3 linked regions of the Oreochromis niloticus genome follow. The protein of the gene in region 2 purifies or fractionates together with the protein of the main gene of each other region. This does not show direct contact. Links are inferred from orthologs where the notes say so. Each region holds a gene or a part of one and is shown on either strand. Other genes may lie near its edges.

What was found. Proteins that work in one complex are often made in the same cells at the same time.
Region 1: the proteins of tmem259 (region 2) and srprb purify together in Homo sapiens (affinity purification with mass spectrometry; 3 studies listed by BioGRID and IntAct, counting the BioPlex papers as one, with this or other methods). This does not show direct contact. The link is inferred for Oreochromis niloticus from reciprocal best matches to the Homo sapiens genes TMEM259 and SRPRB.
Region 3: the proteins of tmem259 (region 2) and tmub1 purify together in Homo sapiens (affinity purification with mass spectrometry; 3 studies listed by BioGRID, with this or other methods). This does not show direct contact. The link is inferred for Oreochromis niloticus from reciprocal best matches to the Homo sapiens genes TMEM259 and TMUB1.

What each region holds. Positions count from the first base shown.
Region 1 is NC_031979.2:23,283,506-23,290,505, forward strand, and holds the start of srprb (signal recognition particle receptor subunit beta), read left to right. Parts: upstream 1-3,980; 5' UTR 3,981-3,995; coding exon 3,996-4,049; intron 4,050-4,148; exon of another isoform or gene 4,149-4,163; coding exon of another isoform or gene 4,164-4,183; intron 4,184-4,235; coding exon 4,236-4,602; intron 4,603-4,931; coding exon 4,932-5,026; intron 5,027-5,134; coding exon 5,135-5,212; intron 5,213-5,295; coding exon 5,296-5,378; intron 5,379-5,714; coding exon 5,715-5,851; intron 5,852-6,057; coding exon 6,058-6,112; intron 6,113-7,000. Other genes in the region: col26a1 (collagen alpha-1(XXVI) chain), read right to left, coding at 1,083-1,186, 1,765-1,887, 2,035-2,210. UniProt on the Homo sapiens protein: Component of the signal recognition particle (SRP) complex receptor (SR). Ensures, in conjunction with the SRP complex, the correct targeting of the nascent secretory proteins to the endoplasmic reticulum membrane system.
Region 2 is NC_031986.2:36,032,698-36,040,685, reverse strand, and holds the start of tmem259 (membralin), read right to left. Parts: upstream 3,087-7,988; 5' UTR 2,787-3,086; intron 1-2,786. UniProt on the Homo sapiens protein: May have a role in the ERAD pathway required for clearance of misfolded proteins in the endoplasmic reticulum (ER). Promotes survival of motor neurons, probably by protecting against ER stress.
Region 3 is NC_031982.2:34,496,572-34,503,863, forward strand, and holds tmub1 (transmembrane and ubiquitin-like domain-containing protein 1), read right to left. Parts: upstream 3,021-7,292; 5' UTR 2,870-3,020; exon of another isoform or gene 2,635-2,869; intron 1,639-2,634; 5' UTR 1,610-1,638; coding exon 1,152-1,609; intron 1,018-1,151; coding exon 666-1,017; 3' UTR 85-665; downstream 1-84. Other genes in the region: ubtfl (upstream binding transcription factor, like), read left to right, coding at 7,277-7,292. UniProt on the Homo sapiens protein: Involved in sterol-regulated ubiquitination and degradation of HMG-CoA reductase HMGCR. Involved in positive regulation of AMPA-selective glutamate receptor GRIA2 recycling to the cell surface.

The DNA.
Region 1 (7,000 bases), on a different chromosome or scaffold from region 2:
TAGTGCATAATCTGATTAAGTTACGTAACTAAGGTGATAAATAAGTTCAAAGTTAAGAAATATAAGTAATTCATGCTAAAAACAGTTAAGATGTGTGTGTTTGAAATTTGCTCAGAGTGAGACATCGTTATCACAAGCGATCTTTGTATTGTATGTGCGGAAATGGGAGCGAGGGAGCGCTCTGATCATTCACCTATCTTTGACGTATTTTCTCCGTTAATGTTGTGAAAAGTGCTTCGGCAGTATTAAAACTGTGAATAAGCTCATGTACACGCTAAAAGTGCTCTACACGCTTGTACCTTGGGAAACGTTCGTCTTTGTAAGTATTAATGTGTTCAGAAATGACTTTTATATGTGTTTACATGGAGTGAACTGTGATGCTAATGTAACGCACGTGTTAAGCTAGGCTAATCATTAAGTTTGTCATTAAGATGTGTATTAGCTAGCAATTTATTTTTACCTTTTGTATATTTCAGTTACAAATAAGAAATAGAAAGGAGAAGCCTTGAGAGAGGATAAGGCTTTAAAGGATCTTCATTAAAAGCAAGAAAAGCAAGCCTTGTGTGGAAGATCTCGTCTATTTTGTTCGCTGGCTGTCTAGCTTCACATGGTCACGTGTTGTGAGGGCAGCATAGAGAGAGAATGTGATTCTAATCCTCCTTCCAGGCACTGTAGCGTCTTGAATGCATGGTTGTAAAAATGTTTAAAAAAAAAGAAAAAAAGTACAAAACCAGAGTGCACAGGATCTCTTTCAACCGTTGATTTCCTGCTGTCCCAGTTCCCCAAAGCAACCCAACACAGGCTTTCAGTCTTAATTCAAAGCAACTCTACAATTGTATTGCTGCACAATATGGCACACGGGATTAGCGACCTACCCAAATACACCAGCAAACATATAAAAGAGAAACTGATGTGGGTAAAGCTGCATGGTGCTGCTAAAAAGATGCAGATGGGTCCAGGCATAACACATGGCCTTTGTTTCAGTCCCTGGAAAAATTAGTCTCAGATAAAATCCTACAGCTCCTCGAGTCCAAGTCTAAGCAAGGCGGCGTCATGCAAAAGAAAGAAAGGAAGAAACTCACCTTCACGACACTCTTCTCCTACAAATCCTGGGCAGCATCTCCACTCCAGTGCAGTGACTTGCTTGTAGGTAGTCCTGAATGACGGCCTGATCATAGTCCTGTAGCTGGAACAGACACTCACTGACTTTAGGGACATGTGATGCACAAACACGCATACAACATGAAGTATTTTGCTTCTTGGTACAGTGGACAATAGACTGGGAACCCAAATGGAGGTGGGGGGTAATTATAAAGATCCAAAGAGCCTCGCCAGCTTTGAATTAGGAATGCAATTACGCATAATTTCCTTTCCATTTTATGCAACCTCGTACCTCTAAGAGACATTCAGTGCCCCTTTTTCAATGAAAACTCTTCATTTCACTGTGGGGGTGGTTCTTCAGTCATACATACATAAATATGTGTGCAGAACTTTAACTTTCAGACAATTATTTCTGTTGTTTTGCATTAACAGTATCACTTTATTTGAACATCCTCTTCTGGCAGACATTCTCAACCAGATTAGGGATGTAAGTGATTCACAACAGAGGCTCCATGCCTGAATTTGCCTAAAGCCACTTTTTCACTAAATCTGCCCCAGCCACCAGGCAGCACCTCCCACGTTCATGACTTATTGTAAAAAGCAAAGTTGCATTTGCATCACAGACCAGTGAAGAATCTGACTTGACTGGAGACAAAAGTATACCTGATGACTTTGGAACAGGGTCCGGGCCACCGGCAGTTCTGAAACACTCTCTGCACTGTGGTTTCAGTCCCATTGTGCACCTGGCAAGACACTGTTTTGAAAACAGTGTACTGACACCAGTTCCTAAAAGACGGAATAAAAGAGATGTTATCGTAATTAATACCGAGAGAGAGAAATAGAGCGAGAGAGAGCAGTGATCTCGCACTAGATCCGTTTTTATTTCACAATAAATTGCGTTAAATCGTTACAACCCCTCCAGTGTGTGCGCACCTGAGTTGGGTTCGGGATCCAGTACCCGGCGGTCCCGTGACGCCGCTCTGTTCCGATTTGATGCGCTGCCGCTGCAAAGTGATGCCCGGGAAGTGATAAACAAAGCCCGTTCCCAGCGAAGGACAGACTAAACTTATCCACATGCAGAACGCGCAGAGAAAAGAAAGAGGCATCATTGTTTGATTTATCCCTGAAAGAGATATCCGCGGACGGTTTTCAAGTAAATCCCGAAGTTATAAATCCCTCTTTGGTCGAAGCTCTACAGAAGCGGAATGGAGGAAGAAGAAGAAAAAAAAAGAAAAACTATGGAAATCCCACCATTAACGAGTTGGTCATCCCTTCTCCACGTCGAGAAACAACCGGGCCCCAACTCAAGAGCCCGAAATGAATGGCACACAACCTCTTCCTTTAGAATAATTTGCGTTTCTGACGTTTGACATGGTGCCGGGGACCGAGGAGTCAAATATCCAGCGTGCGTAAAAAGCGCAATGAGTGTGAGGGTTGGAGACGGAGTGCGTAAAAGCGCATCTGGTCTCGATTGAAAACCACGAGCTCTGTCTTCATATAAGATAATGTGAACGATATGGCCACAAGTGATTAGCGAGCGCTAACGCATTTCTTATGGGCTTGTGTTATGTCTTTGATTACCCTTATTGACGCGACAGTGTCGTAGACTACACCACAAGGTCTAAATTCTTAAAGCCTGCATGAGTTGGGGTAACAGATATGATCAATATGCCTGTTCTCATCACTCTATCAAATAAAGCTGCTTTTCTTTTGGAGACTAAACTAAACTCTGTTAGAATCCACAGTTCCAGTACTTTATTACGTAATGAGAAGATTGTGAATGAAGCTCCAAACTGGGTTTTCCTTTATCTGATTACATGTTGTCTTCACATTTAGCTTCTACAAAGAGAATAAAGTCAGTTTCTCGTTTAAAGGGAATAAAAATTTAAAATAGAACATTTTGCACACGTTTGCCGTGGTAGATGCATATTTTAACGCTGTATTCATAACAATGGCATCTAGATCTGAACAAATGTTTGACCTTGCTAAATCCCTACTCTTGAAAACAGAAACACCGGAAAGCAAATTATACATCCACAGAATTCAAAATATAAACAGAACACAAACGAAGTAATTGTCATATCATGACCAAATAACAGAGCCATGAGTCTTTTGACTGCACAGAAAATATGCACAGATGTACTCATTTACTTGCAGGCAAATTACAGAAAATTCCATATATGTAATGAGACTAGTAGACTGTGATGTTTGCAGACGGCAGTATGATCTGTTGTGAGAGCAGGGAGCAGATAAGACTCTGGAGAGGTGGAGGTATGTGCTGGAGAGAAGACCTCCAAAACAGTGAGTAGAAGCAAGAAGGAATATGTGTGTGTGTGTGTGTGTGTGTGTGTGTGTGTGTGTGTGTGTGTGTGAATGAGAGGGAGGCGGGAGGAAATGTGAAAGAGCAAGGAGCAGATGTAGTGAAGGTGGTGTTTAAATCCCTGGGGTCAACCATCCAAATCAACAGACGGGCACAAGAGAAGAGAAAAAGACAGTGCAAGGAGTGTGGAGTGGGTGGAGATGAGTATCAGGAGTGATATGTGACAGAAGATTAGCAGCAAGAGTGGAAGGGGAGGTTTACAAGATGACAGTGAGACATTCTGATCTGAAGGTGTAAAGGTTTTTATTGGGAATGACCAGAATGGATGAGAAATAAGTACACCAGAGGAAAAGCTCAGGTCAGCTCCCAGGAGGGACAGTGGATTTACTGAAAAAAGGATGGAGCAGCTAGCTGGAAGAAAGGCCCGCAAAGATTCGTGCGTGTAGTAAAGGAGGACATCACTACAAACATGACAGAGGAGGATGGTGTGACAGAGGAGGATGCTAGGCTTTAGGTGAGGTGGAGGCAGATGATCCGCTGTGGTGACCGTTTCTATTGGGAATGACCAGAATGGATGAGAAATAAGCAGCTGTCAGAAGGAGATGGAGGACTACACCGGATTTGCAGTGTATGCTTGATTTCACTTTTGATTTTGAATCACTTCCTGCGTGTTAAAATTAGCTGTTTGTTTTTATACTTCCTTATCCCCTAAGATAACTGCGTCATTTGGCTTGAGTAACTTATGACATTTTACATTACCAGGTACTATTTTTTTCTATTTTTCTCATGAAAACTATCTTCCATTTACTTCCAGAGAAATAAACGTGGCATGAAACTGTCATTTACCTCTAGCTGGTTCCAGCACTTTAATGTCTTTTACATACAGTCTGTGGTCCAGACCCATAACGGAGAATGTCCCGAGCGGCGGGCGCCCCCTGCTGGTCGCTGTGGCTCCCTACAGGCTTCAGATGGAAGGAGACGTGTCTCATTTCAGAGCAGCTTGGACGGAGTGATGGAAGCACACAACACCGGTGGAAACGTGGGAGAGAAAGCAGACGTGGAGATGGCAGGATCTCCGTTTGAACCTTACATTGAGTCCCTGCGGCAGCAGCTAGAAGAGCAGGACCCGGTCTTCCTGATCGGAGTTATCGTCGCTTTGGCGGTGGTTGTTATCACCTGTGGTAAGAAGTCATTTTAGCAGCTTAGCAGGCTAGGCCAAGCGTGTAGCTTAGCCCCGTTAGCCGCAAACAGCTGGTCTGTGATAAACCTGATATGTGAACAGGGCTTTTTAACGTTGAAAATACAATAACATGCGCTGTTTTAATAAATTAATATATGCTTTAAATACTTTAGCTTAAGTAGCAAGCTAAGAAGCTAACAACGGCTGTCGGTTTCACGGGAAGTCATTCAAACTTAGAGCTACCACACATTTTTGGCTAACGGACGGCAAGTGCCTTTGATACGTTGAGAATCAGTCACTGAATGTGTACCCTTTGCTTTGTGTTTGCAGTCTTTCTGAAGTACTTCCTCACCAGTAAGACTGTGCGCACCTCCGTGCTGCTGGTGGGGCTGTGTGACTCGGGGAAAACCCTGCTCTTCAGCCGGGTGAGTTAATGCTGAGACAGACCCCGGAAGCCCGCAGGGGGGTGCCCTGCAGCTCATGTTTGTTTGTTTGTTTATTTATTTGTTTGTGTGCTTTTCATGTGTTGGCAGCTGCTGTCTGGAAAGTTCAAGCGGACACAGACCTCCATCACTGACAGCAGTGCTCCATACAAAGCCAAAAATGACAGGGTGAGTTGAGGACTGTTAGTGGACAGAAGTAACTCGTGTGAGGGTGGGATTTACACCTTTGTTTTTCTCCACCCCGTCTGCAGGGCAGCACCTGGACTCTCATAGACCTGCCAGGCCACGACAGCCTCCGTCCTCAGTACCTGGAGAAGTTCAAGTCTGCGGCCAGGTGAGAGCAGGACGATCTGTGAGGTGATGTATGTGTGAACCGCTGACAGGTGAATGGAATAATGCTGCTTCCACAGAATGAAATGTTCTGACCATAGACTGTATAGAAAGGATGGTAAAGCCATTTTTACCCTTGCATGTTTTGGATCATCAAACACACTTTAATGTTAGAAATAACCTGAGTAAATACAAAGTGCAGTAAGTGCAGTATTAACGTCATGATTTCATTGATTAAGGCAGAAAAGCTATCCAAACCTGCCTGCCCCGTGTGAAAAAAGTAATTGTCCCCTTGTTCCATATCACATCTGTCTTATCATCACCCTGTCCTCTTTTTCAGAGCGATTGTGTTTGTAGTGGACAGCGCGATCTTCCAGAAGGAAGTGAGAGACGTGGCCGAGTTCCTGTATGTGTTATTGACGGACGCCGTGATCACCAGAAACGCCCCGGCTCTCGTGGTGGCGTGCAACAAACAAGGTACAGTAACCCTCAGAGAGTTTTTAGAGAGCTGGTGGAAACTTTTTATTTGGTTTGTCTCATGTTTAAATAGAAAGATTCATAGTTTTCTGTCACATAAGGTAATTGCAGTTCACTGAGAGTGTAGTCCCATTCTGAGTCCTAATATCTGAGCCTTCACTGCTTACTCTACATCCAGGTTATTCACTGGTGTTTTTATCTTGTAGACATCACCATGGCAAAATCCGCTAAACTGATTCAGCAGCAGCTGGAAAAGGAGCTGTAAGTAACTCTCTGTTTTGTTGTCTTCTTATACAATAAATATTTTTAGGAGCATCGCAACAGGTTTTGAATCAAAGCTTTATTGTCCATTGCAAAGCAGTGGAACTTTTTCTTAAACGTGGTTTTCAGTGTAAATAAATAAAACCGCAAAAAATAATGAATGCCACATAGCAGGATTCAAGGATTGTTGCAGATATGAATTTTTTGTTTTTCAGTTTTTGTGTAGTAATTTTGCCATTTTATTCATATTTCCGCTGATAAGCCAGTGACTGATCCTGTATTTATTATGAACCTGTTACCGCAGACTGTAGGATGTGTGTGTTTAATGTGGACTGTGATGTGTTACTGCAGCCTACCCCCAGGTATCATAGGGTAAGAGGCGGGATACACCCTGGACAGGTCGCCAGGCCTAACACAGAGGGACAGACAGCCATTCACACTCACATTCGCGCCTATGGCCAATTTAGAATCATCGATTAACCCAACCCCACTAACTGCATGTCTTTGGACTGTGGAAGGAAGGCGGAGTACCCAGAGAGGACCCACACAGACACGGGAGAACATGCAAACTCCACACCATAAATAGCACTGTTGCTTCACAGCTAGAAGGTCCTGAATTCAAATCCATCACCTGGTCAGACCCTTTCTCTGTGGAGTTCGCATGTTCTCCTCATGTTTGCATGGGTTCTTTTTGAGAACTCCGGCTTCCTCCCACAGTCCAAAGACGATATACGTTTACATTTTTTAATGTAGTCTTCATTTTGCATATTATTCAAAATATGACCTCTAAAAATAGATGTATTTCAACAATCAGTGTTGTTCTGGTAAATTTATCAGTATGTGGATTTTGGCCTTACACCAAATCCAAGATGGGAGTTTGGCAGTTTG
Region 2 (7,988 bases):
AGGGATTTAGGTTGTCAGCTCAGAGCTGCAAACAATCAGTCACCTTTATTCTGATCATTAACTTTACACTAAACACGAGTATTGATTAACATGGCTTGTTTAAATAAAGTCATCTCTGTAGTTCACCTGCAGACTTTTTACCCAGAGTTCAGCGGGACCAGCAGGCATCACCAACAACCGATCCAACCTTTCATCCACTCAGATGACATGAGATCAATAACCTGCAGGTAATTTTTTTTTTAATCAGATCAGAGAAACAGAGACACTGATGATCTAATCTCTGTGCTTTAGGACCTGAACCTGCTTGACACCAGAAGTCAAAGGTGTCAGCATCTGACCAATCACATTTAGTGTTGAGGGCGATCTCAGCAGAGTGGCTGATTTTATTACAGAGAAAGACTGAGCTGAAGAACTTAACCCCCACCCCCAACGGCAGTACTTTATTTTTTCCTCAGCAATGCAGAGTGTGTACCGAGCAAGGCTAGCAAAGAGAACTGATACCAAAAAACTATCGATTACTTTCCTCTGCATCAATAACAGCAGCATCATCCTCAACTTTTCAAGCTGACACAGCTCCTCCCATCACTAGCAGCAGGTGGACAGTAGTAAACCTGAAGAAGCACCTTAGAGACCGTCAGTCCATCTTTAGGAGGAATTTAATGAATTCAGAGAAGCTCCTTTTTTATTAAACATTTACCTGCCTGCGACAGGTTAGTGTTAGGATTAGCTCTTCCCCCAACCTAACTGTTATCATAAAGCTAGCAGCTGATATTAAAGTGGGAGTGAGGCAGGAAACAGACAGGCTCAATTTAATGACAGCTAGGGATCAGAATTGTACAGATTCTTGTAAAAGGACCAGTTCACAGTTGTCCAATTCCTTAGAATTCCAGGAGCTATCAATTCCGCTTACGGATTCTTGTACTCACACTACGATCAGCTGATTTCAATTCTTGTGTCAGAGGAAAATAGCAGCTCAGTCTACAGCATGGATACTTTTCTTTTTATTCCACAAAAGGACAAGAGCAAGATGGTAAAGTGGAGACTGCGTGCGGGACAGAAACAACTGCATTATGCTTCTAACACAATGGCTCTTTACAAGCACCTGTGCAGCCAGCATGCTAACGCTAAGCAGGCCAGGAACCCAGAGTGATATATGCAGACCTCAGCGCAGCAGCCACAGCCTGAACTGCAGGTAACAAACTGATGAGCATGTTTATATTGTTAAATCGTAATTATGAGACATTGTGTTTCAGGTCATTTTAAGGAGTAACATGAAAGTAATGTAATGAGTAATGTAGTGAATGACCTTCTCCAGAGAGTAATTAAGTCACACATTACATAGCTTTTAAGGAAATATTCTGTGTAATATGAGTAATAGATTACTTTTCTTGAGTAATGACTCCAGCACTGATCATAACAAAAAGAGGAAATACCGTCAACATGGACAAACATGTGACCCACAGGGTGCAGTTAATGTGCATGGCTAATGTCTTTGATATGGTGGAGACTCTCAAAGCACAGCCAATAAGAATCAATAAGGAATCAAATCAATAAGTGATATCAATAATGGAATCAGAATTGCTAAATTCTTATAAATGTTCATCCCTAGTAACAGCAACAGTAAATAGTGAATCAGCCCATCCTAAAAACACAAGCAGTGAAATGACAGTGACAGGTAAGTAGGAAACAGGAAGTAGCAGGACTGCACCTAAGTGTGCACGTCAGGATCGCTTCTTCATTTCATCTTCTCCCCTCCCAGCATCCAAAATCCAAGCTTCACATTGAGTCCGACCAGCATTTCTTACCACCGTGATTTCACGGGTAAAGGGAGCTGTTTTTAGAGGTTTAGATGTTTTCTGAGGGAATACTTTTAAATTCCTTCATGAAGGAAACTCCTGGAGCTCAGGTGAGCTCAGACTGATGATGATGATGATGATGATGATGATGGATAAGCTGTGGCAGCAGGTCTGCAAAAACTACAGACTGAGATCACCAGGATCTTCTGCATCCTCCAGCTGCAGCCTGACGATCTCCAGGTGAGACACCACAGACCAGCTTATCCCCCCCCACCGCCCCACAGGTACACATAAATACTGATGACTTCAGGAAGAACATCTGAGACATGTGGTTCATCAGCATTGAGTCAGCTGACTCATGTCTCCATTAATCTCACCTGTGAGCCACAGACCTGAGGCCGCTCTCAATGACAGGTGTGAGAGGCTGTTCTTAGTGTGGGAACCTCAGCAGGCGCCCCCCTCCTGGACATCAGAGAGCATGCAGCTCTCCATCTTTATTTACAGTCTGTGAGGTCTCAGGTGAAACAGGAAGTGGCATTTAGTGACTTTTTGCCATAAAGACAGCAGGATTGGGACCATAGGGTCACCATAACAAGACTATGAGGGTCTCAGGGTGTGACATGATCGTTCACCACGTGACCAGCTCAGGATTGCAGGGGACTCCTGGACATTGAAGAACATGCAGCTACCTGTGAGAGCGGGAGGAGCCTCTGAGCTCAGTCTGATCCTCACTAACTTCCTGTCTGAATAAAGTTTAACGAAAATAAATAAAGTTTCTCACTGCTCCACTTGCTGCGCCTCAGGACAGGTGATGTGATCAGCTGATCGTCAGCCCGGAAATGTGGTGTGTGTGTGTGTATTCTGATCAGCTGATCCTGATTGGCAGGCTCAGGTGTGTGGTGGCTGCTTCAAGCAGCTGTCCCCCCGCCCCGCCACCCCGCGTGTGTAATCCATAGACACCCTCACCAGCGGCAGGTGACGCTGACTCACCTGTGCGCGGCCTCTTCGTTGTTTCTCTCGCTTACCCACGAACGCCACAGTTAGCAGTTAGCAGCGCTAGCAGCAGGGTTAGCTCTGCGGCTAAAGGCGGAGTCCGGAGGCAGCCGGACCGGACAGAACCGGGAGCCGTCTCGGTCCCAGCCGACAGGTGAAAGGACGGAGGGTCCGGGTACACGGAACCGGAGTACAAGGTGAGGTCAAAACCCGGAAACTGTGGCTAAACGGCGGCTAACACAAGCTAACGGAGGATAAGAGTCTGACTACTGTCAGAGCGTCACTCAGACCGGAAATACACGTCCTAATACCGGAAGTAGTGAACCACGGCTGGGGTTCTTATGTCCCTGAGCGCTGCCTGGCAGGCGCCTCGTGCTGGTAGGAAGCTTCTGCACGTTTATTAACGGTGAACAGCTGATACGTCACTGGTCCACGAGTGTCACGAGTCCAAAAACTGGGATTGAGCTGATGGAGGAGCCTCGGGTGAGAAGGTGGGGGAAGAATCACAGAAATAAGTTACATGATGTGAGGCTGTGATCAGCTGACCTGCTGTTCTCTGTGGATCTGAGAAGACGTTTCACAGACGTCACACTGAACAGCTGTTCTGCATCAGCCAATCACTGTAGACTAACCAGCACTGAGCTGCCAGTACGGCGTGTTCTTCATATAACAGATCTAATGTCTGATTAAGACCTCTGAACAGCACATGGGAGCTTCTCGTCCTCTCAGAGACCCTGAGTGTGTGTAAATACAGCAGCTGGACTCTCAGACCTGATAAACTGCACAGACACAGTTTGTGTTGCTCATATTTGCTGAGCTGACTGATTACCTCACACTTAAACATTACACAGCTTCAGCTCCTGTCACACGTTTCTATATGTGAATGTTTCAAAGGGACGAGATAAAGACGTGACGAAGCTGATGTCACACGTCATCATTACTTAACAGGTGTCTCCATGCTGTCACTGGAAGCTAAGTGATCAGCTGGTTCACGCATATTACAATCTAATCAGATTTAACCGTTCATTAACTAAAGGTGTTGGGTTGTTCCCACCCACTTTGACAAGGTGAACTCTGCCCATGAGGATGGAGGTCTCTCCATCAAGCAGAACAATAAAACATCTTCATACTTCATACGATATGCATTCACATCGTTCAGCTGACTGAGCAGGTGGAGGAACCCTAAGATCTGTGTGGGGAAAATACTCCGCTCACAATCATTTCTATTGACAGCTCCAGCAGATTTTCTTAGTGTTTGAATTGTTTTACATTTATTGATTTAAAAGGGACAGTGTGTATTAATGAACATATATCAATGCAAATATGCCAGATTTAGCCAGAAGGCTACTTTTCATCTGTAGTCCCTGACAGGTCAGACAAAAATTATAAATAAAAAACTATAAATTTAGCACACCTTCAGACAAAGTACAACAAAGTAGCGCTAACAACAAATCCGTAAAATTATGTACAGGCTGTGATCAGCTGACCGGCTGCTCTTTGTGGATTTACACACCTGAATTCAACCAGATGTGAGCAGATGTTTTGCAGCTGTCTCGGCTGATTTCTACATTAACAGTATACTGAATGCCATCTTTGTACCAGACAGTATAAAGTCACTATAACAATTGAATTCAGTGAACAAATCTAAACATCATCATCTTACATGTAAATTAATCTCTGCTACATGCTGCTGAACACTGATCACCACAGCACCATAGCAAAGTGCACCACAGCAAAGTGCTTTACTGTGAATTCACCACTGTATTGCAAAGTAACCTGTTTATCCTACACAAAACTCCCCAGAATTGTCAGAAAACATTTGAATAACACAAAATTAGTATACTTAGTTTGTTTCACAGGAAGTTTCACAAAATGAAAATACATAATTTATAAAAACACATCAAAAACAATATGTGATTAAACACGAGGACTTGCATGTAAGCTTTATATGAGCAGATCTTTAAATCTAACCTCTTTTTTTTCCTCTCCTCTCCTGTCCTGTCTTTTTTATCTTTCTCCGTCTCTGAGTGAAGTTAGTGTCTCTTGGAAATGAGATTTTTAATCTCAATGAGATTTTTTACCTGGATAAATAAGGGACTAATAATACTTAATAATGTGGCCAATGATTCATCAGTTTTTCCTGAAATAGACTGAAGATGTGAAATCCTCAAACCTGAGATATTCATTACTCTCGTCATCTTTCATCATCATCCTCAGACATCAGAAACAGGGCAGGTGTTTAACTGTCAGAATGAAAACTCTTTTTTAACTTTATTCTAGGTCAGAAACTCTGAGGTTTCACATCAAAGTTCATTCAAATTTAAATTTTATTTTTCACATACACAATCATACACAGTACGACATGAAGTGAAATCCTTATTGCTGTGCAATTCCTGACCAAATAGAAGAACAAAACTAAAGAAATTAGCAGTGTGCAGATTGACAGTGAACAGTCAAAAATACAGTAATTGAGATATATTATTGAAGTTAATTATATTATTTCAGATGAAGCTTCACAATCAGGTGAGATTACCAGGAGCCAAAAAGACACAGGAACTGAAAGCTTCAGTCTCCACACTCATCACAGTCAGTCCTGATAAGCAAACCTGATCTACTTATGCTGCTGTAGACTCATTCTCTCTGTACGTTTCTGCAGGTGGGCCTCGTGGTTTCTGACTCCACCCCTTGTCCTTTACACTCTTTACGGTCTGCTGTGAGCTGACGGTGTGTAAATGAAGTTTTATTGAATGACATCACAGCATGTGTTCTTATCAGACTCAACTCATAGTGAATCACTGATCACTGATCAATTCCTCCCTGGACGGAAGCTGTGTTTCCACTGTCAGACTGAAGGGGGCGCCATCTGTCAGCAGAAAACCTGATCAGGACACACACACACATTTTCCCAGTCTCTGTTGCCTTGGTAACACCCTGGCTGCTGGATGGCCTCCAGGAAATGAAGAGTGAGATGAGTGGGAGGGAGGTGTGTGTGTGTGTGTGTGTGTGTGTGTGTGTGTGTGTGTGTGTTCATCCTGGTTTGATTCTAGTCGGGGTTTTTGAACTGAGGTCCTGCAAAGACAAAATTTGTGATGAACTTCTGCATCCAGCAGGGGGCGCCTAAGCCATCCACAGAGAGGTGAGGAAATGCATGCAGGGTTGAGCAAGTGGAGATTAGTGTCAGGGTGATTCATGATAGAAGGATAGCAGCAAGACTGAAAGGGAAGGTTTAAAGATGGCGGTGAGACCTGCTGTGATGAACAGGATCAGAAATGAGTCCATCAGACAGACGGCTCAAAGTCAGAAAGGCTGAGAGAGGCATGCATGTGCAGAGGAAGGAGGGTGAAAGATGAAGATGGAGCTTCAGGGAGGAGGAGAAGAGAAAGAGCTCAGAGGTTCATGGATGTAGTGAAGGCCATGCAGAGGGTCCGTGTGACAGGAGGAGATGGAGGCATGGGCGAGTGTGGGGACTGCTAAAGGAGGGAGTGATGTGTGTTGGATCTTATCTCAACATCACTGTTGCCATGGAAACTGCATAATGAGCTGAAGGTGCAGGACATTAGGCAGCTTGTTTGCGTGTGTGATTGGTTCTGCTATTGATCCTTGAACCTCTGTGAGACAGATGTGGTCACCTGACTTACCTGAGCTGGACATCGGTGTCTCCAACCTGCTCAGTCCTAATGAAGCTGTTGATAGGTGGAGGACTGACAGCACCTATAATCCCCCTGTAACCCTGAGGCCCCTCCCTGGGCAACTTAACCACCATCTGCACCCTAACCTGTGTGATCTTAATGACTCGTATGATGATGGGCTGGGGCAATGCTGGTATTCGGCCACACAAATGTAACTGCATGCAATTCTGTAAAAACCAACAGCTGTTGGGTTTTAAGAAAATTCCAGGTTTTCCAGGCTGGCCATGACGCTGCACTATGGTGACAGGAAACAGCTGCCACATACAAAGCTGTACCTGCTGGAGGTTGAACACCCACGACTCCCCATCAGCAATCTGCCTCAGAAGAGCTGAAACATGTTTAAAAGCCCAGCTGGTTCAGCTCAGCACTTTAACTAATAATCATCAATAACTGATTGATACTCTGATCAGTGATGATGCAGTTTCATGTCTCTTTTCTTTCCCCCACACTGTAAATAAAGACGGATGCAGATCGACATATTCTCTCTAACACCCAACAGGGGGCGACTGCTCTCCTGACCTCTGAGATCAGTTTCAGCTTTTTTGTTTGAGTATAGCATGAGCCGAGGTACAAAACGCCATTGTCCTGGACTTGCTGGTCAGGTGCTTTCACTGTGATGAAGGCTGAGAACCAGAGAGAGCATCCTTTTCTTGTTTAGGCTTTGAAAACATGAAGAAGGTCCTGCTGAGAGTCTGTGACAATTCGAAGGGTCGAGTCATGATGGCAGCTCTGAGCGCGCCATCATAATTTATGATGAACAACTCAGGAGCGCCAAAACCACCGTCATCCTCACGCTGATGCTGAAGATGTTCTGATAATAGTGAGATGTTGAATGAGCTGTACGTCCCACCCAGTTGAGCTGAGATTGGTTGGACTGGAGGTTCTTAATAGTGTCTCAAGGCAGTGCTCTGGCCTGTAAATGCCTTGCTGGTCTCTCAGCACTAATTGGTCAGTTTAAGCAAACTCCCCATGGGACCAAAACCTCCAGGAAGCTCAAATGATGGAGAGACTGAGAGAGGATGAAAGAGGAAATTAACGAGTTGACGAAGAGTCTGAGGGATGTCTTCATCACATCATCTGTGGAAAAGTTAGTGCAGCACAGAATCGGCTTCATCCTCTGCATAACAGGAAACAACTGGGATTAACAGTTATTACTGAGAGCCAAGAAGGCATCATTGTAAGAAAAGAGGAAGACACAGTGATGAAGAACAAGCTTTAATTGGAACCACAGAGCATGCACCTGAAACAGCTTCTTCAGCTCTTTTTATAGCAGCACTTTATACACTCATATGATGCTTCATGGTTTTACATTCAGATGAGAGCGCGCCGATTTAGAAACATCACATGCAACAACACATGGACACGGGAACAGCAGGACGGACCGCCTCGTATTTACAGACCGATTGTTTCAGGATGTTATTCTATAACATGTTATCCTATCATCCTCAAACCAGCATTTACATGATGGAATGAATCAGCATGCGTGATGTCATCAAGCAGCACACGGCTC
Region 3 (7,292 bases), on a different chromosome or scaffold from region 2:
TTACGGAGCCGTGACCTGTGAACATGTCAAAGCAGCAGCTCTGACCAATCACATTACAGAAACAGTCTGAGGTCGTCACATGACTTCTTTCATTCTGAGCTTTTTGTATCCAACTTTATTTTGTAACATTACACACTTCCTGCTACACAGAGGGTCAAAGGTCAAACATAAGAGCCCATAAAATCTTCACCCTGGAAATGGACTCCATTATCAGCTGATCCTGGATGGTTAGAGAGTGCTTAGCAACAACCTGTCGCTAGGGAAAAATCTGTACTCCCCAACGCTGACCGCCCAGCCAATCAGGTGATGCCAACCAGCCATGTGACTGCAGCAGCTCCACCCTCAGAATCACCTGTACAGGTGTGACACACACACTCAGACACCACGGGATAAATTAAAGGTTTAATAGATTTTCTCCAAAAGCTGAAACTCTCTCTCTCTCTCTCTCACACACACACACACACACACACACACACACACACACACAGACAGGTGAGGCAGACAGGTGTGTCTGTGCCTCCCACAGAAATCAAAGAGGCACGCTGATGATGAAGATAAACGTGTGATCTAATGATAAGAGTCTCTGTCCTCACTGCGTCTCCATGGCAACAGAAACAAACAATAACTGCAGGTAGCGTCTCTTCCCGCTGCCGGCCCATGGGAGGCTAGCGGCGGTAGACGCCAAAGGCCACCAGGCTGAGGAGGATGGTGACCCCGACCAGCGAGGCGGTGGCGGGGGCGGTGAAGAACTGGCGATACTGGATCTGACAGTACCACAGCACGGAGAGCATGAGCACGAGCAGCGGGACCATCAGGCTGCCCACGTTCAGCGCCACGCGCACCTGGTCTCCCGCCCGCTGGCCCCCTGCCGCCCCCCGCGCCGCGTGCTGCGAGATGTGGCAGTGCAGCACGCAGTTATGGGCGAGGTTCAGCGAGGCGAGCGTCCGCGCGTCGTCCTGCAGCAGCTGGCCCTGATAGATGAGACGCACCTGATGCTCCTGCCCCGCAAAGTAGGTCCTGCAGGGTCAGAGGTCAGAGGTCAGCAAACGGGTCCGGGGGCACAGCCGGGAGGAGGAGCTTCAGGTTTGCCGAAACTCCTCCTCTACTATGCAGTAGTGTAGTGTATGGAGTATTACATGCAGCACTCGTACCTCTTAATGTACCCGACGGTGTCCTGTGGTTGGACCTGCGCCGTCCTCTCTGTGTCGTTGAGGAACTTGAGTCTGACCACCATGTTCCGCTGAGACACCGCGGCCTCTCCGTCTCCTCCTCTGCGCCTCACCCCGTCTCCTCCCACCTGTCCATCCTCCAGTGTGGTGGGAGCCTCTGTCAGGAAGCTGTCGTTCACAGAGGAGGAAGGTGAGGACGAGGACATGGAGAAGGTGGAGGGTGAGGATGGTGGGTAGGGGGACGAGGAGGTGGCGGTGGATGAAAAGGGCGTGTCCTGCTGGGTTTGCCCGGGCCTCTGTAAAGGGGAGGAGCCTGTGAACAGGTGTTCAGGGGGCTCGGATGTGCGGGTGGAGATCCAGGCGAGCAGCAGAACTGTCAGCAGCAGCAGAGTGGCGAACAGCAACGTCACCTCATCGCCGACACCTTCGATCAGCGCCATCGCCGCCAAGGTCAGCACAGCTCACACACCTGTAGGGAGAGGGCAGAGCTTAGCTTCAGGTATATACACACACTTCTTGTTTACCTGAGAACCCCTCACCTGTCCTTTCACTCCAGCATGACTGAAGCTTTTTATGAAATAGGGAAAGAAAGAAAACGCCCCTTTAGGGGCAGGTGTCCCACAGACGGAGCTCCAACGTCACACGACAGTATCGCAGTACTGTGTGGTGATAAATACAATACTGTGAGAGTACTACGAGCAGGTGAGCTCCTCTCTCAGGTCGATAGAGTTACTTCCTAACTCATAGCGAGCTGACGGCTCAGACACACGAGGGAAACCAACGTCCGAACATCTGCAGGACACCTGTAGCTGCCGGAAGCTGAACCTCACAGTGTCGCCTGATGGGAGGTTATCGACGGCTCCCAAACTGGATCCATGTAATCGCCATCAGACGACATCGGACAGGTACGGCGGGTTTTAGTAAAATCACCTTATCTCATTTGATAAAACACAAACTGATCAGCTGTGAGGTCGTGACCTGCAGATGCAGATCATCTGTACGTTTGTCAGAATATGGTAACGATAAAATCCCAGTAAACCTCAAAGTTCCGCCTCTACGTTACACCTGGGCCCAGTAAAGTCCAATCAGAGCAAGCGTCCTGTCCCCGCTCTACACACACACGCACACACACACACACACACGCACACACACACACACACACACACACACACACGCACACGCACACGCACACGCACGCGCACACACACACACACACACACACACCACAGGGTGACCTCTGGGACTCTATCTTGGGGAAACACACTCAGAGGTAAAAGCTCCCCTGGCGGATCGCACGTCACTTCCTGCGTGGCTGTCCAACCAGCGGGATGAAAAGCCCTTACACTTGTCCCCATACAACGCTAACTTCCGGTTTCCTGTGTGCCGTCAGCAGGTATCGATCCATGATTGATCCGGTTGTTAATCAAGTGTATTTTTGACGCCCTCTGCTCAGGTATTTGCTCACCTCTTTCCGCGGCCTCGTCACGTCACCAGTTGTTGGTCGCGTTTCACCGGAAGATCCGGGCATTTGAGCCACCCGGGCTCACCTGGATCAGCTCCGCCAGTCCCGCTAAAGTCCGCGCTAACAGCTACCCGCTGCGCTAAGATACGCGCTAACAGCTCCCGCTCCCAGGGAGCCTCTGACCCACAGTCTGAGTCTGCGCAGAGGCGCGAGGAGAGAGGAGACGACGGTCACTCACGTTCAGTCCAGGAGCTTCATGTCCTCCGCGTTAGCCTGCAGGCTAACAGCTGCATCACTTCCTGCTGCCGCTTCTTCTACTGCTGTGCTCCGCGGCGGACCCAGCGGAGGCTTCTTCTTCTCTATATTGCTTATTGGCGGTTGGCAAACAGCAAAATGGTGCATTACCGCCACCCACTGGTGTGGAGTGTGAACTGAATGTCAAAAATGAATCAAATCCTCCCAAACAAACGAGTCTGCCTTAAAAAACAAAATATGACCTGATCACTTCTCCAGTTCTTACGAAATAAATCAGCCAAGTCCAGTTTCACTTTCATCTCACCGAGCATCATATTTCTGACAATGCACTAAAACATGTCCTATTGTTTCTTCTTCTCTGTTGCAGTCACACTCCCCTGTGCAGTGCTTTCTCATTAAAAACAATGTGCTATTCAAACCAGCATGCCCAAATCTGAGTCAGGATATAGCTGTCTCCTCTCTCCTGTTCCTGTGCTTCTCGTTTCTCCTGTTTTTTCTTTGGTTTCGTAAAACCATCGCCCCCCCAGTGGAGGTTGCGCATGCGTACACCTGCTGGTCGCGATTACCGTAGCGTCTCCTTATGACGTAACCAGACAAAAGAAACAAGCAGAGTGTAACAGTTTCAAATGGTACAGAACAAAAAGTAAAGAAGAAGAAACGTGTTCGAGATCAGATCCAAATAAAGTTTTTAATAAATGAAACAAAACGAAAAGTGACATATTAGACTAAAGCCCTCTGTAACAGCAGATCAGACAGCAGAAGAAGAAAGGGGACCATAATAAATCATTACTGCAGGTTTACAGCTTCCAACAGAGAGTGTGGATTATGTGTACTCGTGGCCAGGAACGACCAGGAACGACAGCTGACACACAGGAAGTCTGACTGGTGCTCAACCGAGCCAGATTATCCAATCAGCATCACCTGTGTGAAGCTGGTGTGTGACAGCCTGAGGTACTGAGAAGGAACCCTGACCATGACCTGCTGCGACTTTTCAAAATAAGAGCATGAAGCTGTTGGTGATTAAGCTTTAGGAGTGCCTGTGTGTGTTTGTGTGTGAGCAGACCAGCAGATTTTACAGCATGAGGTTCACTTCACCCACAGAAACATGTTCAAACACTCTAAATACAAACATATATTAAAATGCATGAATATAATGCACTCATTTTATTTACAGTCACTTTATTAGGTGCACCTGTTCAACTCAGATATCTGACCAGCCAATCACAGGGTAGCAGCAAAGTGATGAAGAGGAGCTGCTGAGGTTCAAATGAAGCGTCAGAATGATGATTTAGGAGACTGGTGTGTCCAGACCCCAGTGAGCGTTTCAGGAGGAGGTGTACCTAATAAAGTGGCTGTGAGTGTAAATTCTGCACAAAGTCCTGTGAAATATGTGAGTTTCAACTTTGTGGGTCCGCTCAATCAATCAGTTGATCGGTCAGTGAACCGATCGATCATCTGCAGTGTTTCCTCTTCAGCATGTTGGGGCTCTGACAGCTGCAGAAACCTGATCAGCTGATTGGTGGCTCATCCTGGGGTGTCCACGTGCACAGCCTGACCTTTCATTGTTAGAGAAGCTGCTGCACGCGCTGTTAGTCTGGATGATGTCATTACCCCAACACTTTCCCTTTAACGTGCTGAACATCCGGGCAGCAGGGGGCAGCAGTGGCGCTCAGGGGCCACTGGCTGTGTTTGTGAGGGCTCCGAAGTCCACCAGAACCCGGACCCCAGCTCAGACCTCTGAGGGTCCCACAGGTGAGGCCCAGTGCACCTGTCCTCACCTCAGGTGGCAGGGTCCTCCGAGTTTACTCCAGAATTAAAGTCACAAGAACTCAAAATAAAGGCTGTTTTTATTCTAAATAACAAACTTTATTAGGACAAACAGCAGAAACACCTCACCCCACCTGCGGCAGGTGCGGAGTCAGATGATGACCTCACTGATCACGGGGACTCCGCTGCTCTTAGCGGGCTCCTCTGCCGCCTCTCAGCCCCCGATCAGCATCGCGCCGGGCGGTGGAGGGAGCCCCTTCGGCTTCCTCCCAGAGCATCCGCTGTGCTCCGCGGGCCCCCGGCCGCATCTCTGCCGGCGGTCCCCGGGCCTCCCGCCTGTTCAGCATCTGGACCCAGAGAGGGCTCGGAGTACGCAGTCGCAGTTGGGTTTGAGTGAAAACGGCGTAAATGTAAAATAGCGTCCGTTAAAGAGTGCGTGTGCGGCGGCTCCAGCGGGGCTGGCTGCCGCTGTGGCCGCTGTCTCTGGTTTCATCCTCCGCCTTTGTCCTCATGTTTTCCCCCGGAGTTCCTCCCCCTGCGGCGCTGGGCGGAGTTTCATACCGGACTAGACGCTCCTTTTGTCGGATTCGTTTCGACCTGACTCCCCGGGGTTTACGGCTGAAAAAACCACACTTCCACGGTCCCGAAAGCAGCCGAACCGGCACGGTGCCGTGCAGTATCACCCCGGCTTTCTGTCCGAACCAGCAGGTAAACGCCAGGTTCCGATTTTAAACGCATTTCTGGGTTTTTCGGCTCGCTCGTCCCCGAGTCGCCACAACATTCATGGCGGCTTTGCAGCGGAGGCTTGTGGGGCAGCTGCAGCCCGTCCCGCCCGCACAAAGCTCTGGTTCTGCGGGTAAAGGGTTCGGGGGGCTCGGGGGTTCTGGTGATCCTGCACCGCGGGTAGACTCGACCTCGACCTTTTTACGTGTCATCATTTTGTCGGATTAAAGCCCTTAAACGCTCCACGTGTGCCGTCCGGAGACTTTCGCTCGGATCTTTTATCCGGTTTCATCCGGTTTGTTCCGGTTTGGTCTCCGCGTCGCTCCGACACGTTTCACCGGGAAACCTTCGCGCTCGGTTCTGCGGTTCGTGCCAGCGGAAGCTACGTGCTGACTCCTGCCGGAGGATGGACGCCATTACCGGGCAGCTGGAAGCTGGCGGCCCGGAGACCTTACCGGGCCCGAGCCCAGCTCCCCGGCCGTCCGGACCCAGAACCCGGGGACCGTCTGCAGAACGGCACCGGGACCTGTGTGTGTGAGAGATCAGCTCCTGTCTGAGAATCGATCATCAGCAATGTCACCAAACACACTGTTTCCGGTTACCTCTGTGGTTACACTGGTGTGGTGATGTCACGTGAGTTTAATGCTCAGCCAGGTGAGAACAGTTGAGGTGCACGTCAGTGTGAGGTCATTCAAACAATGGCTGTGGTGCACACAGGTGGGCACCCTCACAGTGAAGCTGCTGCAAGTGAAACATTCTGATTGGCTATTCTGTGCCCCGTAGCTGCTGCTGTGACTGTGAGTGGGTGTGCACTCTGATCACACCTGTGCAGGTAGCTACAGACCCCTCAATCATCATTTTTGTCCAGTGGCGAAGGATCAAAATTCGCCATGGTGCCACAGACACGTGAACTCCGAAGCACAGCTGCATCTTCAGATGAATCTGACTAAAGGTGAAGGTGCCCAGGTGTGGGGGCGTGGCTTTAGGAACGACCCAAAGTTCATACACAGAGCTCAGTGTGCATTGACGTTTCTATCACTGAAGGTGGCGCTCTGGAGCCTTTCTGCACGTGGAGCATCCTCACTGCGTGTGCAGAATCTCGTTTCTGAGCACGCTCAGATTGATTTCTGTAAATGAAAAGAAGCCTTCAGGAAGTTCACACACTGTTGGGCCGCCATGGTGTGAGCTGCAAGCTGATTGGGCAGTGAGAGGATGAAGGTGTTAAAGTGTGGTGATGGCCAGCTGTCATCCTCTATAAATACACCTGGTACATTCTACACAGTAACAGGTGATGTCACTGACCTTCAACGTGTCACTGTTAGCCTACAGTGGGGCAGCAGGGATCAGGTGACGTGTCAGGTGATCAGGCGACATATTCTGCTCAGTGACTCACGCTCCACTTACTTCTAGCTTCTCACAGGAGAGTGACCTGCCACTGAAAGCAGCCAGCCTCCTCTGAGCTATGGAGAGCCAAACGTGCCAAAACGCTGCGCAGGTCAGCAGGGGGCGCCGTAAAAACATGGTCACATTAAATCCAGCCCCCTTTGGTCCTGCAGCCTTTCTCACCTGACATTGATTTAAAACACCTACATGCTGCTACTGCGCGCTGATTGGTCCTTCAGTGATTTATGACAGGGCGTCCTCTGTCACGGCGCCCGTTTCCAGCAGTCGGGCTGGTTTCACTCGGCTAAAGGATGAGCTCGAGAGCGCCCCCTGTGGAGCCGGAACAGCGCATTGGATCAGGTGTTGTTGGACTCGGTGCTGCCCCACACAGGCAGAAACAGGAAGTACACGAGCCGAGCCGTACTGATGGTCACGTGAGCACTTCCTGCTGCAGTAAACCTGTTTGATTTTGTGTTTCAGAGGGAGGGGCGGAGCCTCCTCCGTCGGTCACTGCAGGATGAACGGCAGCAGCA